Linked DNA regions of Lepisosteus oculatus. The protein of the gene in region 2 interacts with the protein of the main gene of each other region in a biochemical or structural test. Links are inferred from orthologs where the notes say so. Each region holds a gene or a part of one and is shown on either strand. Other genes may lie near its edges.

What was found. The genes of interacting proteins can lie anywhere in the genome.
Region 1: the proteins of histone H4 (region 2) and l3mbtl2 interact in a test that uses a peptide from one of them, tested with the Homo sapiens proteins (2 studies listed by BioGRID). The link is inferred for Lepisosteus oculatus from reciprocal best matches to the Homo sapiens genes H4C1 and L3MBTL2.

The regions. Positions count from the first base shown.
Region 1 is NC_090707.1:38,080,375-38,087,849, reverse strand, and holds the start of l3mbtl2 (lethal(3)malignant brain tumor-like protein 2), read right to left. Parts: upstream 3,426-7,475; 5' UTR 3,329-3,425; coding exon 3,216-3,328; intron 2,870-3,215; coding exon 2,726-2,869; intron 2,277-2,725; coding exon 2,083-2,276; intron 1,501-2,082; coding exon 1,394-1,500; intron 1-1,393. Other genes in the region: E3 ubiquitin-protein ligase RBX1, read left to right, coding at 3,491-3,568, 4,220-4,298, 4,741-4,811, 5,224-5,309, 6,099-6,111. UniProt on the Homo sapiens protein: Putative Polycomb group (PcG) protein. PcG proteins maintain the transcriptionally repressive state of genes, probably via a modification of chromatin, rendering it heritably changed in its expressibility.
Region 2 is NC_090718.1:2,208,728-2,214,459, reverse strand, and holds histone H4, read right to left. Parts: upstream 1,343-5,732; 5' UTR 1,277-1,342; coding exon 965-1,276; 3' UTR 575-964; downstream 1-574. Other genes in the region: histone H3, read right to left, coding at 2,246-2,656; uncharacterized protein, read right to left, coding at 3,412-3,794; histone H1-like, read right to left, coding at 4,863-5,504. UniProt on the Homo sapiens protein: Core component of nucleosome. Nucleosomes wrap and compact DNA into chromatin, limiting DNA accessibility to the cellular machineries which require DNA as a template.

The DNA of each region.
Region 1 (7,475 bases), on a different chromosome or scaffold from region 2:
ACATCAAACCCTGAAAAACGTTCTCCATGTGTTTTTATCTTATTGTATGTGCTTATATACTGCATATCATCTTACAGCATGGCTGGGCAGCTTGTTCCACACTCCCACCCCCTCTTGCACACTAATCTGCAAAGGCAGCAGCTTGAGTTGTGTTACTAGTAGAGACAGCTAATAATAATACTACTGCTAATACTAATACTAATAATAATTGATTACTCTTATATAGCGCTTTTCTGGACACTCCACTCACAGCGCTGTACAGGTACTGGGGATCCCCTCCACCCCCACCAGTGTGTACCCCACCTGGATGATGCTCCAGTCCGCTCCCCACACACCAGCTCTCAGTGGGGAGGAGAGCAGAGTGATGGAGCCAGTTCAGAGAGGGGGGTTATCAGGAGGCCATGACTTTTTTTTTCAAGAAAAAAATAATAGTGGTAATAGTAGTCGTGTCAGTGGTAGTATAAGTAACATTAACAGTAGTATCAGTGGTAGTATCAGTGACAGCAGGGGCAGTGTCAGTGGTAGTATTAGTAGCAGTAACAGTAGTATCAGTGGTAGTATCAGTGACAGCAGGGGCAGTGTCAGTGGTAGTATTAGTAGCAGTAACAGTAGTATCAGTGGTAGTATCAGTGCCAGCAGGGGCAGTGTCAGTGGTAGTATTAGTAGCAGTAACAGTAGTATCAGTGGTAGTATCAGTGACAGCAGGGGCAGTGTCAGTGGTAGTATTAGTAGCAGTAACAGTAGTATCAGTGGTAGTATCAGTGACAGCAGGGGCAGTGTCAGTGGTAGTATTAGTAGCAGTAACAGTAGTATCAGTGGTAGTATCAGTGACAGCAGGGGCAGTGTCAGTGGTAGTATTAGTAGCAGTAACAGTAGTATCAGTGGTAGTATCAGTGACAGCAGGGGCAGTGTCAGTGGTAGTATTAGTAGCAGTAACAGTAGTATCAGTGGTAGTATCAGTGCCAGCAGGGGCAGTGTCAGTGGTAGTATTAGTAGCAGTAACAGTAGTATCAGTGGTAGTATCAGTGCCAGCAGGGGCAGTGTCAGTGGTAGTATTAGTAGCAGTAACAGTAGTATCAGTGGTAGTATCAGTGCCAGCAGGGGCAGTGTCAGTGGTAGTATTAGTAGCAGTAACAGTAGTATCAGTGGTAGTATCAGTGCCAGCAGGGGCAGTGTCAGTGGTAGTATTAGTAGCAGTAACAGTAGTATCAGTGACAGCAGGGGCAGTGTCAGTGGTAGTATCAGTGCCAGCAGGGGCAGTGTCAGTGGTAGTATTAGTAGCAGTAACAGTAGTATCAGTGGTAGTATTAGTGACAGCAGGGGCAGTGTCAGTGGAAGTATTAGTAGCAGTAACAGTAGTATCAGTGACAGTAACAGCAGCAGTATCACCTACCTGCAGCTCTGCGATGGGGTCCTGAGGGGAGCCCACATGCCTCTCCACACTCGCCTGCGACGCGGAGCCGTCTGCTGCAGCCGGCAGCCAGCTGGGCGGCGCTGGAGCTGCGGAGAACACAAGGCACAGCGGCTTCCATCGCATCCCGTGTGCTGACCGACACCCTGGGTTCAGGCCCAGTCTAACACGTCCCGAATGGATGAATAAACTGAGCAATAAACAGTCGGCATCTGTGATTCACCAGAACCGGCAAGTCACTAGCAGGAACACAGCCCACATGTTCTTACACGCTGTAAAAAAATTAATAACGAGAAGGCTCAATGCTCAAGCTTACATTACTGTAGCAAATTCCAATCAAACTGTTGCAATAAAAGCAAAAACACAGGCCTTAAGTTTAAAATTGTGGACAATTTATGGTAAAAGTTAAGGTGTGAAGCACAGTTAATTCCCCAAAACGGTTGGATTCGATCCTCTAATCGGGACGGGGGGGCTACTTTACGCAAAGGGCGGGAGTGGGGAACAAGCTTCCCTGCCATGGTTTTGATACCCTGGCTTTTGCCAAGAGGTGTCCGGTTATTTATGGCAGACAGATCTGTTAGTTACTGAAAAAGTAGAGCCATCAGTTACGGCCTCTTCTCCTCTGTGACTGTCCTCATGTCGCCCCCGATCTCCCCGGGCCCTGACCTCACCTCGGGAGGGAGGGGACAGATGCAGGACCCCTCCTGGGACTCCGGGCTCCTCTTCCCCGCCACCCTCTTCGCCAGTGGGACCCGGAGCGCCGCCTTCCGGGCCAAGAGGGGACGCCGGCTGGAACAGCAGAGGCTCGGGCTGCTTGGGCGCGTCCAGCGGCACCACAGGCCCTGCAGGCTCAGCACCGGGGGCCCTGCAGGCGGGAGAATGGAATCCTCTTCACTTTTATCCCACTAGTGATACGGCCAGCAGCTCCACCACCCTGCAGCTCCCAGCCGGCAGCCCCACTGGAGCCCAGCAGGGTGAGCCTGGCCAGTACCTGGAGGGGAGACTCCTGGGGTCAATTGAGGCTGCTGCTGGGAGAGGTGTGAGTGGGGCCAGCAGGGGGCGCTCACCCTGCGGTCTGTGTGGGTCCTGATGCCCCAGTATAGTGACGGGGACACTATACTGTAAAAAGGCACCGTCCTTTGGATGAGACATAAAACTGAGGTCCTGACTCTCTGTGGTCATTAAAAATCCCAGGGCGTCTCTCGACAAGAGCAGGAGTGTAACCCCAGTGTCCTGGCCAGATCCGGTGCCCCATGGTCCTGCCTGGCTCCCTGGGAGAACGCCACCCCCTCCTGCCTCTCGCAGGATGCTTACCGGTTCCTCCTCTTCTTCTGCGGCGTCCAGGCCCGCGGGCCGGTGGCCCGGGTCTTGAAGATGGACGGGCCCCTGTCCTTCTTCCCCTCCGCGAAGTGGCAGCTGCAGAGCCTGGAGAAGACGCTCGGGTCTTTGTCCTGCCGCCTGGAAGAAAAGACCGGCTGGTTGGCCTGACCCTCAGTTCAGGTGCCTCTAGAGGGCCTCTCTGTGTGTTTGTGGGGGGACAGGACAGGAACAGGACTTGTAAGGCAAAGAATCGCCATCCTATTGTTCCTGAACGACACATTTCACGTTTAGAGAAGCTCACAGAAACTACAACCAGACAACCTAAAGCCTTCTGTCAAAACAGGCAGGGGTTTGGTCTGTCACTCAATAGCTCGATACTCTGACGCAAAACAGGCTGCAGGTTTTTCAGAGGCATACTGGTGAAACGAAGACACCTGCCATATGTCACTTTTTAACTGTTTATCCCGCAAAACGGCGTGCCAACCTGCATCGCTCTTGCCAAACTCGGAACTGCCTCAGATCCTTGGGGAAACGGAAGAATTTGCAGGTTTCTCTTTCGCTGTGATGGTTGCAGTCGGGGGCAAAACACTGGACCATCGCAAACGCGTCCTTCTGCGGCGGGCCGGCAGGCTGCAGGTACAAAGTCAGGCTTCGTGTGGAACCGCAGGCCCTGTTGTTATGGGGACCGTGATGTCACAGCTCGCCGCCGGAAGCGACGGCCAGCGCAGGCGCTCAAGAGCCAGGGTTCCCAGAGACAAGATGGCGGCAGCGATGGATGTGGACGCCCCGAGCGGGACCAACAGCGGAGCCAGCAAGAAGCGTTTCGAAGTGAAAAAGGTACTTTGAGTAATTCGAGGAGGAAAAATTAAGGACGGAGGGACGGAGAGAGATTAAGTTGATGACTGTTGTTAATCGGTTGTAACATACAGGTGTTTGGGGAGTAATACTGGACGCTTTGCGGTGTTTTTGCGTGGTTAGCTAACGATGGCTAATGGGCTTACGGATTTATTTCCGTAGGCTTTTCTGAGGGCGCCAGCTTAAACTATTTTTGTCGGGCGCCTGCTTTTTGAGAATAACAAGTGTGTATTCGTGTTTCAGCCGGTTCAGTTCTCCTCGCTTTTTTTGAATGACGAAGCTGTTTCTTTTCTCAAGCGCCGACAAAGCTGGTCGGGAGGGAAAAAAGCAATACACTTTTCAGCACCTCGGACACGGTTTACAGCACCAGATGCCCCTTTTAATAAATAATAATTAATTAATGAATAATAACAACAACAACAACAACAACAGCGCCCAGTAGCGCCGCTCTGCCGGATTACTCGGCCCTCCCGATGTGAGGCCGGGCGAGACTCACGAATGTCGCAATAACAACATGCAGGCAGAGAACACGAGCGGGTGGACACATCTCGAGCGGGTGGCCGGTCAGGGTCAGCCAGGTTGGTGCATGCACTGTCAGTAAGTGAAGTGTTCTGTCTTTCCCCCCGCTGCTAGTGGAATGCAGTAGCGCTGTGGGCCTGGGATATCGTGGTGGACAACTGTGCCATCTGCAGGAACCACATCATGGACCTGTGTGAGTAAATGGGAGTTCTACTGTACTGACTGCAAAACACTGACAGCGCAGAGCTGTGTGAATGCAAGGACACAGTAAGAGTGCACAGACATGAATTATACTGTTCTGACACTGATGCACTGACAGCGCAGAGCTGTGTGACTGTACAGGCATGGTTAGAGTGTTGAGACTAATTATACTGACTCCAATACACTGACAGCCCAGAGCTGTGTGAATGCACTGTCACAGTATGAGTGTACAGACATGAATTATACTGTACTGATGCACTGACACAGTATGAGTGTACAGACATGAATTATACTGTACTGATGCACTGACACAGTATGAGTGTACAGACATGAGATCCAGACGCTGGTGTCTTACTCAGGTGCCAGTCCTAAGGTGCCTCTGAAGCTCACAGGGTAACACGCTGCTGTGTTTTTCTCTCTCTCTCTCTCTGCAGGTATTGAATGTCAGGCCAACCAGGCTTCTGCTACGTCTGAGGAGTGCACTGTGGCCTGGGGCGTCTGCAATGTAAGACTGAGCGCTCTCCCTCCCTCCCTCCCTCGACCTCCTCTGGGCCTCATCCGCACAGACGCCACCGCCACGCTGGGCTCTCCCAGACAGCCGGTTTTCGCCCTGTCTAGCCCCTCAGAGGGGCACACGGGTGGCACTGGCGCCGTGTGAACGAACAGAGTAGCCGCGAGGGGGGTTCCCCTACGGGCGTGGGGGCGAACCCGCAAACGCCCCGCCCCCCTCCTGTAATCCGTGCCGCTTGTCTGAACCCCCCTGTCTGGAAAGGGGGGTGTGGAGATGAGTGGAAACAGGAGCCAGAGCTGCCCCCGGTATCTGGAACCTGAGCCCCCCTCCCCCCCCCCCTGCTCGACCGACCTCTCGGAAAGACCCCCAAGCTGACCGCCCCTCCTCTCCCCTTGCTCTCCCGCAGCACGCCTTCCACTTCCACTGCATCTCGCGCTGGCTGAAGACGCGACAGGTCTGCCCCCTGGACAACCGGGAGTGGGAGTTCCAGAAGTGAGTAGCTCCCCTGGAGTGTCCTGCCAGGATAGACAGGATCCCCTGCCGGGCATCCCTGCCTGGATAGACAGATACTTTATTGATCCCGTGAGGGAAACTGCAGTGCAACAGCAGCTTAACACAGAAACAGTGTAACGAATGATACAATAATAATAATACAGTACAATCAGTACAGTGAGAAGGGCACCAAGAAGAGTTACTCACAGTCCAGAACACACAAAGAACAGAACAGGGCTCTCTCCTTCCTGCTCATACTAAAATAGTTTAAAATATGCTTTGGCACCAGGATGGAGTTTTTAGGCTGGGGGGGGGGGGTGTGTATATATAGAGGAGGTCTGTTTTGTGAATGAACGCCCTTCCTGGCTAGCCTGGGCGTGAAGAGCAACACTCGGGATGAATTGTGGAATGTTGATGAGCTGTTTGTCCAGTCACAGTGCTCCCAGAGACGGGACCGAGCTCGGTCTAACGGTTATTGATTATTCGAGGTAGCACGCTCTCCTGCGGCACTGCGATCGAACCAAGAGCTGATTAATATTCATTCGCGTCTCGCGAATCGCGTTCTGGTAAAGGCGAGCTGTACGCTTGCGGGGCGCGCAGTTTGTAGAGCAGGTGTGCAGTCCGTGTCTGCCAGGACGAGAGGTGTGTAGCGTGTGTGCACCTGTGTGCTGGAATCGGGATCGTCTGGTGTGCAATATCCTGTTCCCTCTGGCAGGGCGGGCGGGTGGGTGGGTGGGTGGTGCTGTTACCTGGTGTAATGATTGATTTGTGCTTTCCTTGCCCTTGCAGGTACGGACACTAGGGTGAAGGACAGTGGACTGGGCAGTGGCTACGCTACAGGTCGCTGGCGTACAGCCCCTCCCTCCTCCTCCTCTCCTCCCCTCTGCACGCGGGCACTGGCCCCGGGCCTGGCCCCAGCTGTTGTGTGGGGTGCACTCTCTCTCTCGACTGCGTCTCCCCATGAGCTGGCATGAAATAGTCTGAGTTTTTTTTTTAAAAAAAACACGTTCACGGTCCGTTTGTAAATTATAAATAAACCTCTGTGTTCAATGTAAGGAGGCTTCCTGTTGTCTGTTTTTTTTTTTTTGGATGGGTGGAGCAGTGGTTCCCGGTGCTGGTTCTGGTGACCCACACACCTGCCCGTTCTTCTTCCAGACCCAGTCAGAGGCTTTGTTGCCGTATCCTGAACTGTTTGTTCGCGGCTCATCAATGCGGTCAAGCTCTAACCGGCGTGTTTGTTTAACGTGAAATTAAACCCCAAACTTGTGACTACAACCACAATGCAAATATTCCAAAGAAGACGGGCTTTGATTGTCTAATTTGGGGGGGTGGAATGGAACCGAGCAGGTGTGGGGGTCACCAGGACCAGGATTGAGGGAGAGGGCAAAGTAGGAACAATGGGAGATGTAAAAGTGCGTTCTGTGATGCAGGAATGCTGTGATCGTGGGTGAAATCTAACTGAGAGTGCAACTAGTCTGCTGCACTTCCACTGCCCTGGAGCCAGGTGAACCTCTTTCTACACCAGTGGGGTTTAACCTGCTGTCCAATATATACATTGTGTGAGCTAAATAGGAAACAAAGATAGTGCTGTACCACTTTTCTTTTGCTTAAATGGATTTGCATATCGCCCCCCCCCCCCCCCCCATAGCTGTGTGTTCTGAGGCCGTGTGACTGATACTGTGGGGTGGAGCTTGGGTCATGTGACCAGTTGCCTCTGCCCCAGTCCTGGTCCTGGGGGGTCAGTCAGTGTGTCTGCAGCAGGGCTGTCTAGTCAGTTGTGTGAACTGAACACAGCCCCTGCCGTAGTATGGGCTGATGATTTAAAAGCTCCTGAAGATCAAGGTTACACAAAAAAACACTCCAAATGACTCCAGAAAAAACATTTTCATGTCTTTATTTTTTTTTAGATTTGATTTAATTCATTTAATTCCCAACACAAAAGCTAGATATTTAGTGCTCTTCTCCATTTCAGAGAGCTGTCCTTTGCTTTAACAATTAAAAAAAAAATCTTGAAGTAGAGAAGTAAATAGGAAAGCTGCAAGTTAAACCTTGGGTTTGCACACCTGGATACACCAACAAACATCGCCCACTAAGGGGGCAGTTAAATATTCCCTGGGGTGCCCTGGACAGTGCTAGTTGCCTCTGGATCTTATCTCCTGAGTGGGT
Region 2 (5,732 bases):
TCTACAAAATGAACGTAAGCAGAAAGGCTCTCAAGCAAATGGCTTTCAAGCGCTTCGGGCGTCTTTGTCTCGACCTCTCGCCGAGTCTGAGCGAACAAAGAGCTGAGCAGCTTCCTGTCGGGGCGGGGAGGGTTAGAAACGGCCCGATATCACAAGTTCTTTCTTAAAAAGACAAACCCAGCATGAAGAATAAAAAACATTTAGAAGTTGAACCCCATTCTGTAATAGCAATTTACTACTACGTGCACATTTTCTGAAATCCGACTCTCATTACGCTTATGTCTCCTACCCTAGAAAACTGTGCTCGGCGTAAACCGTGCGATTTGTGCAAACTTGGAGTCAAAAGCACAGTTTTTGTGATATTCTAGACAACTTTAAAAGCACTTTGGAACAACCAACAGCATTTTATCACACACTTTTGAGCTTCAGCATTGGTTTCAAATTAGTCTGAGCACAATAAAACTAAACACTGAACCTTTCTACAAAATAGCATGTAGGAGACTAGCTTTTGGCGAATGAAGTGGATTTCAAGCCAAGCTGAGCCGCTTCCTGTCGGGGCGGGGAGGGTTAGAAACGGCCCGATGGGATAACGGCTCTTTCTTAAAAGCCATGAAGCATGCGTGAAAAATAAAAATATTAAGGAAGTGAGCTTCATTCTTTACTCATGACCTAATTAGAATTAGTAGTAATGAGAATAAGAACTACCACTCCATCAAAACGCTTTCAGCAATAACCTATTTCATTAGCAACCTGATCTACACTAATGTAACGATTGATAAGCTCTGCATCTCAATTTAGGAATCATCACAGCAATCGCAAAATGTTGCTTGCTTGTTTGGTTAAAAAAAAACACCAAAAGTGATAGTTTAGATTTCAGCTCTACTTTGATAATGTGGGTGGCTCTTAAAAGAGCCTTTGGGTTGATACGTCGGGGTCCAGTCCGGCAGTGAAGCTCCGCTCCTGTTTAGCCGCCGAAGCCGTACAGGGTGCGGCCCTGGCGCTTCAGCGCGTACACCACGTCCATGGCGGTGACGGTCTTCCTCTTGGCGTGCTCGGTGTAGGTGACGGCGTCGCGGATGACGTTCTCCAGGAACACCTTCAGCACCCCGCGGGTTTCCTCGTAGATCAGCCCGGAGATCCGCTTCACTCCCCCACGGCGAGCCAGGCGGCGGATGGCGGGCTTGGTGATTCCCTGGATGTTGTCGCGGAGAACCTTGCGGTGACGCTTAGCGCCTCCTTTCCCGAGTCCCTTTCCGCCTTTGCCTCTTCCAGACATCTTCTAGTTATCAGTTAGTGACACGACACACACTGCTGGGCTGCAGCCGCGGCGCTTCTCTTTTCAAGCCTGAGAGCGGACCTGCTTGAGACAGGAGGCGCGCTGACACACGAGCCCGCCTCTTCTCCGACTGCAGCAGCAGCCCAGACTGCACAGGAACCTCTTCCCTGCCGGAGAGCTCTCCACCACAGCAACTTTAAACAGGCTACACTTCGAAATTGTCATGATTACTTCCCTAACCAACGGCATTGTAGGATTGTGCAAATTCTCCCCACGTGGTTTGAATGCTTGAACCTGGACTCGAGAAAAGCCCAGTCTTATCGAGCGCTAGCAATACAGGATAATCGGTGCTGCAGCACGTTTTTGACTTACAGGATAAAACTGTAGAGCAAAAGAAACCTAAACCCATACCATACCGACAGCATTAAGAAATGTGTCAATACCGAACCCACGTATCTAGGAAGAACGATATCAAATTCAGAATCCATTGCACATGTGAGGTGCTCTTTTCTGAACCAAAACGCCCCATACGGAACAGAAAATACAACATACTACGGTGTATGGATTATGAACTGTACTAAGACTTTAATCACTGTAGGAATAAATCCGTAATTCGTGTTTAAGCACCTTCTAAACCGAGGTGCTTGAATGCCGGAAAGAAGAATCTTCTCTAGGGGGGGGCATTAATTGCATTTGAACACTTTCAAATGTGGATATGAATGCTGAAAAACGAATTTAGAGCAAAAGGGGAGACGTGTGTCGCTGGTGTACTGCAGCAGTGCAGGGGGGCTTTTACACGAGTTGGTAGAAAACCGCTTCCCGGTAGGGATTTCACTTATCAGCTAACCAAACGAGAATTGTGCCTCGTACAGACTATAATGGAATAATATAACCCTCTCGAGTATTGTGGCGGCTCTTAAAAGAGCCTTTGTGTTCAAGGGAAAAGATGCTGCAGCAGGCGGTCCGTGTCTAAGCGCGCTCCCCGCGGATGCGGCGGGCCAGCTGGATGTCTTTGGGCATGATGGTCACCCTCTTGGCGTGGATGGCGCACAGGTTGGTGTCCTCGAAGAGCCCCACCAGGTAAGCCTCGCTGGCCTCCTGCAGAGCCATGACGGCGGAGCTCTGGAAGCGCAGGTCGGTCTTGAAGTCCTGGGCGATCTCTCTCACCAGGCGCTGGAAGGGCAGCTTGCGGATCAGCAGCTCGGTGGACTTCTGGTAGCGGCGGATCTCCCGCAGAGCCACGGTGCCGGGCCTGTAGCGGTGGGGCTTCTTCACGCCGCCGGTGGCGGGGGCGCTCTTTCGGGCAGCCTTGGTGGCCAGCTGCTTCCTGGGCGCCTTGCCGCCGGTGGACTTGCGAGCGGTCTGCTTGGTTCTCGCCATCTTCCTCGCTGCTCTTCACAGTCAACAGTGTACTGAGAACCACTTCCCGCACTCGGGTTTATATGCGCAGACAGCCCCGTCCTGATTGGTTGAAAGGCACAGGGGGGAGGAGGGTGTAACTCTGATTGGACGGTTTGAAACCGAGCGCGCAGCTCCTACACTCCTCGCGGGTTTAACGGCTCCAGGTCTCTCGGTTTAATAAGAGACACAGAAAGATCGATTTTCCTTCATTTATAAACTAAAAGCAAGTTCAGGCGTTTTAATACCTTGATACCTATAAAGTGGCAAGGATTTTGATGACTGTTTTAGCTATACTATAGGACAAGAATAGTGACATAGTATAATACTACTATAATAACGTTAACTAATATAATTTCTAGTGTAAAAAGTGTGACTCGGGAGGAGAGCGTTGTGCTGAGGGACAAGACCACTTGAAAGACTAATATAATAATAATACGAATTTTATTAATCCAATTACAAGTACAATAAGGAATACCTCTTTGGTTTGTAATTAAAAGGTTAAAAACGAAGCGAATATAGAAATGTTATGAACTGTATTGCGAGCGCAACAAACCGCTCTTCCATACAGCAGATTCTGGATCACGTTGCTTCACCACTGAAATATGTTAGTAAAACCGTGTAAACGCTGAAGTTACACAAGTAAACAAAACTCGCTCTTTTCAAGAGGCTGTGGGTGGCTCTTAAAAGAGCCTTTGTGTTCGGGGTCAGTCGGAGGTCTCTGCCGCGCTGTTTACTTGCTCTTGGCCGGCTTCTCGGTCTTCTTGGGCAGCAGCACCGCCTGGATGTTGGGCAGCACGCCGCCCTGCGCGATGGTCACGCCGCCCAGCAGCTTGTTCAGCTCCTCGTCGTTGCGGACGGCCAGCTGCAGGTGCCGGGGGATGATGCGGGTCTTCTTGTTGTCCCGGGCGGCGTTGCCAGCCAGCTCCAGGATCTCGGCGGTCAGGTACTCCAGCACCGCGGCCAGATACACCGGGGCTCCGGCGCCGACCCGCTCGGCATAGTTTCCCTTGCGCAGCAGCCGGTGGACACGGCCCACAGGGAACTGCAATCCGGCCCTGGAAGAGCGAGTCTTGGCCTTGGCTCTGGCCTTACCGCCGGTCTTTCCTCTGCCGCTCATCTAGTACTATCTAGCTTGTCCGAAGAAGTCTGACAATACTGGTCACAAACTGTCTGCCACCCCGCTTTTGAAGACTCGCGGCTGAATTTGATTGGATGGACCGGAACAAGCTCTCCACCCAATCAGAGATCAGTGTTGCCAATCAGCGCTCTCGGTCTCCACCAATCAACAGGCAGGAGGGAAATTCGGACTCTGAACACAGAGCGCGGCTCTGCTGCCGAGCGAGGACAAATATGTGTTTTTCAATTTCAAGCTTATTATCGTTATTCTCATACACAGGTATATGTAATTGTGAAATGCTATTTAGCTAGCTCTCAGACGTTAAGTGGTAAAAAAACAACAATAAAGTTGCATAAGAAACAGAGACAACAGGCCATGTGCAGAACAACAGGCGAATAGCAAAACTACAACAGTTCATGTGCAAAACACTTCGCTTAAACGGTCATTTTTTATGCTTTACAAAATGTATATTTTAGTGAATTTCACCACCGTCTGACTCAGTAACCACGCTACCTTGAGTGGAATTAAGCTCCACTCCCATAAGAATCTGGATCACCCGCCTCCGAGGGCTCGATATTGAAAAGTCACCATTGTCGCTATTAGAGTGATACATCTGTCACGTTACGTCTTTTCACATGCCCGCTATAGCTGCGAGACTAGCAGTCACACACTAATGAAAACCTCCGTGCCATGTAACAGTGTAACATTTCACCTCAACTAAATTCATTAAATGAAGAGATGCAAGGAGTCACAACGCTGTTCAATGGAGATCAGAACGTTTAACAAAAAAGCCTTTTAATTCTACACCTCCTCTGCGCACCCACTCTCTACAATAGTATTTAGAATATTTACATTTGTACATTTTACCCAGCATCGCATTTCAGTATCATTTTGAAAAACTACAACCCAGTCCCTCTCCTTGTGTAAAATAATTATGTCTCCCCCCCTATAGAGCGAACCGGCGCTTTCAAGCGGTGAAAAGGGAAAGTCTGCGCTCTCTCTCGGAAGGGCTGGTGGCTCTTAGAAGAGCCTTTGGGTTTGTAGGAAATTAACTCGAGGGTCGATCGCTCACTTCTTCTTGGGAGCCGCTTTCTTAGCTTTGGCCGTCTTGGGTTTGGCCACCTTGGGCTTCGCTGCCTTGGCTTTCTTCGGGCTCTTTGCCTTCTTAGGCGCCGCTGGCTTCTTGGCCTTCTTGGGGCTCTTGGTCGCCTTCTTGGCCGCTGCGGGCTTCGCGGCTTTCTTGGGCGACTTCTTGGCGGCCGCTGGCTTCTTGGTCGCCGCCTTCTTGGGCGACTTCTTGGCGGCCGCTGGCTTCTTAGCCGCTGCGGGTTTCTTGGCCGCCGGCTTCTTGGCTTTGGCGGCGGCGGCGGCTTTCTTCACGGGCTTGGGCTTGGTCTCCGCCTGCTTCTTGTTGAGCTTGAAGGAGCCCGAGGCGCCGGTGCCCTTGGTCTGCACCAGGGTGCCCTTGGTCACCAGGCTCTTGATGGCCAGCTTGACGCGGGAGTTGTTCTTCTCCACGTCGTAGCCGCCGGCCGCCAGGGACTTCTTCAGGGCGGCCAGGGACACGCCGCTCCGCTCCTTGGAGGCGGACACGGCCTGCAGGATGAGCTCTCCCACGCTGGGGCCCGCTTTCTTGGGCTTGGCGGCGCTCTTCTTCTTGGGCGCCTTGGCCGGCGCGGCGGCGGGGGCCGGAGCGACTTCTTCTGCCATCGCTGCGTCTCTGTCTGCTGTCGGACTGTCTGCGGCTCCGCGCGCAGGCGGAACTTCAAGGCCGCATGAGAACCGTGGAGACTCAACCGCTGCTGCTGCTGCAGCTCCGCTCCGCACAGCCCGCTCGCACTTGTGTTTTCTCCCCGCACAAAACTGCCCCGTGATCCTCACAGATACACCGAATCGATTATCAAATACATGAAGTACGAAGAAAACCCCCTGCTCTTT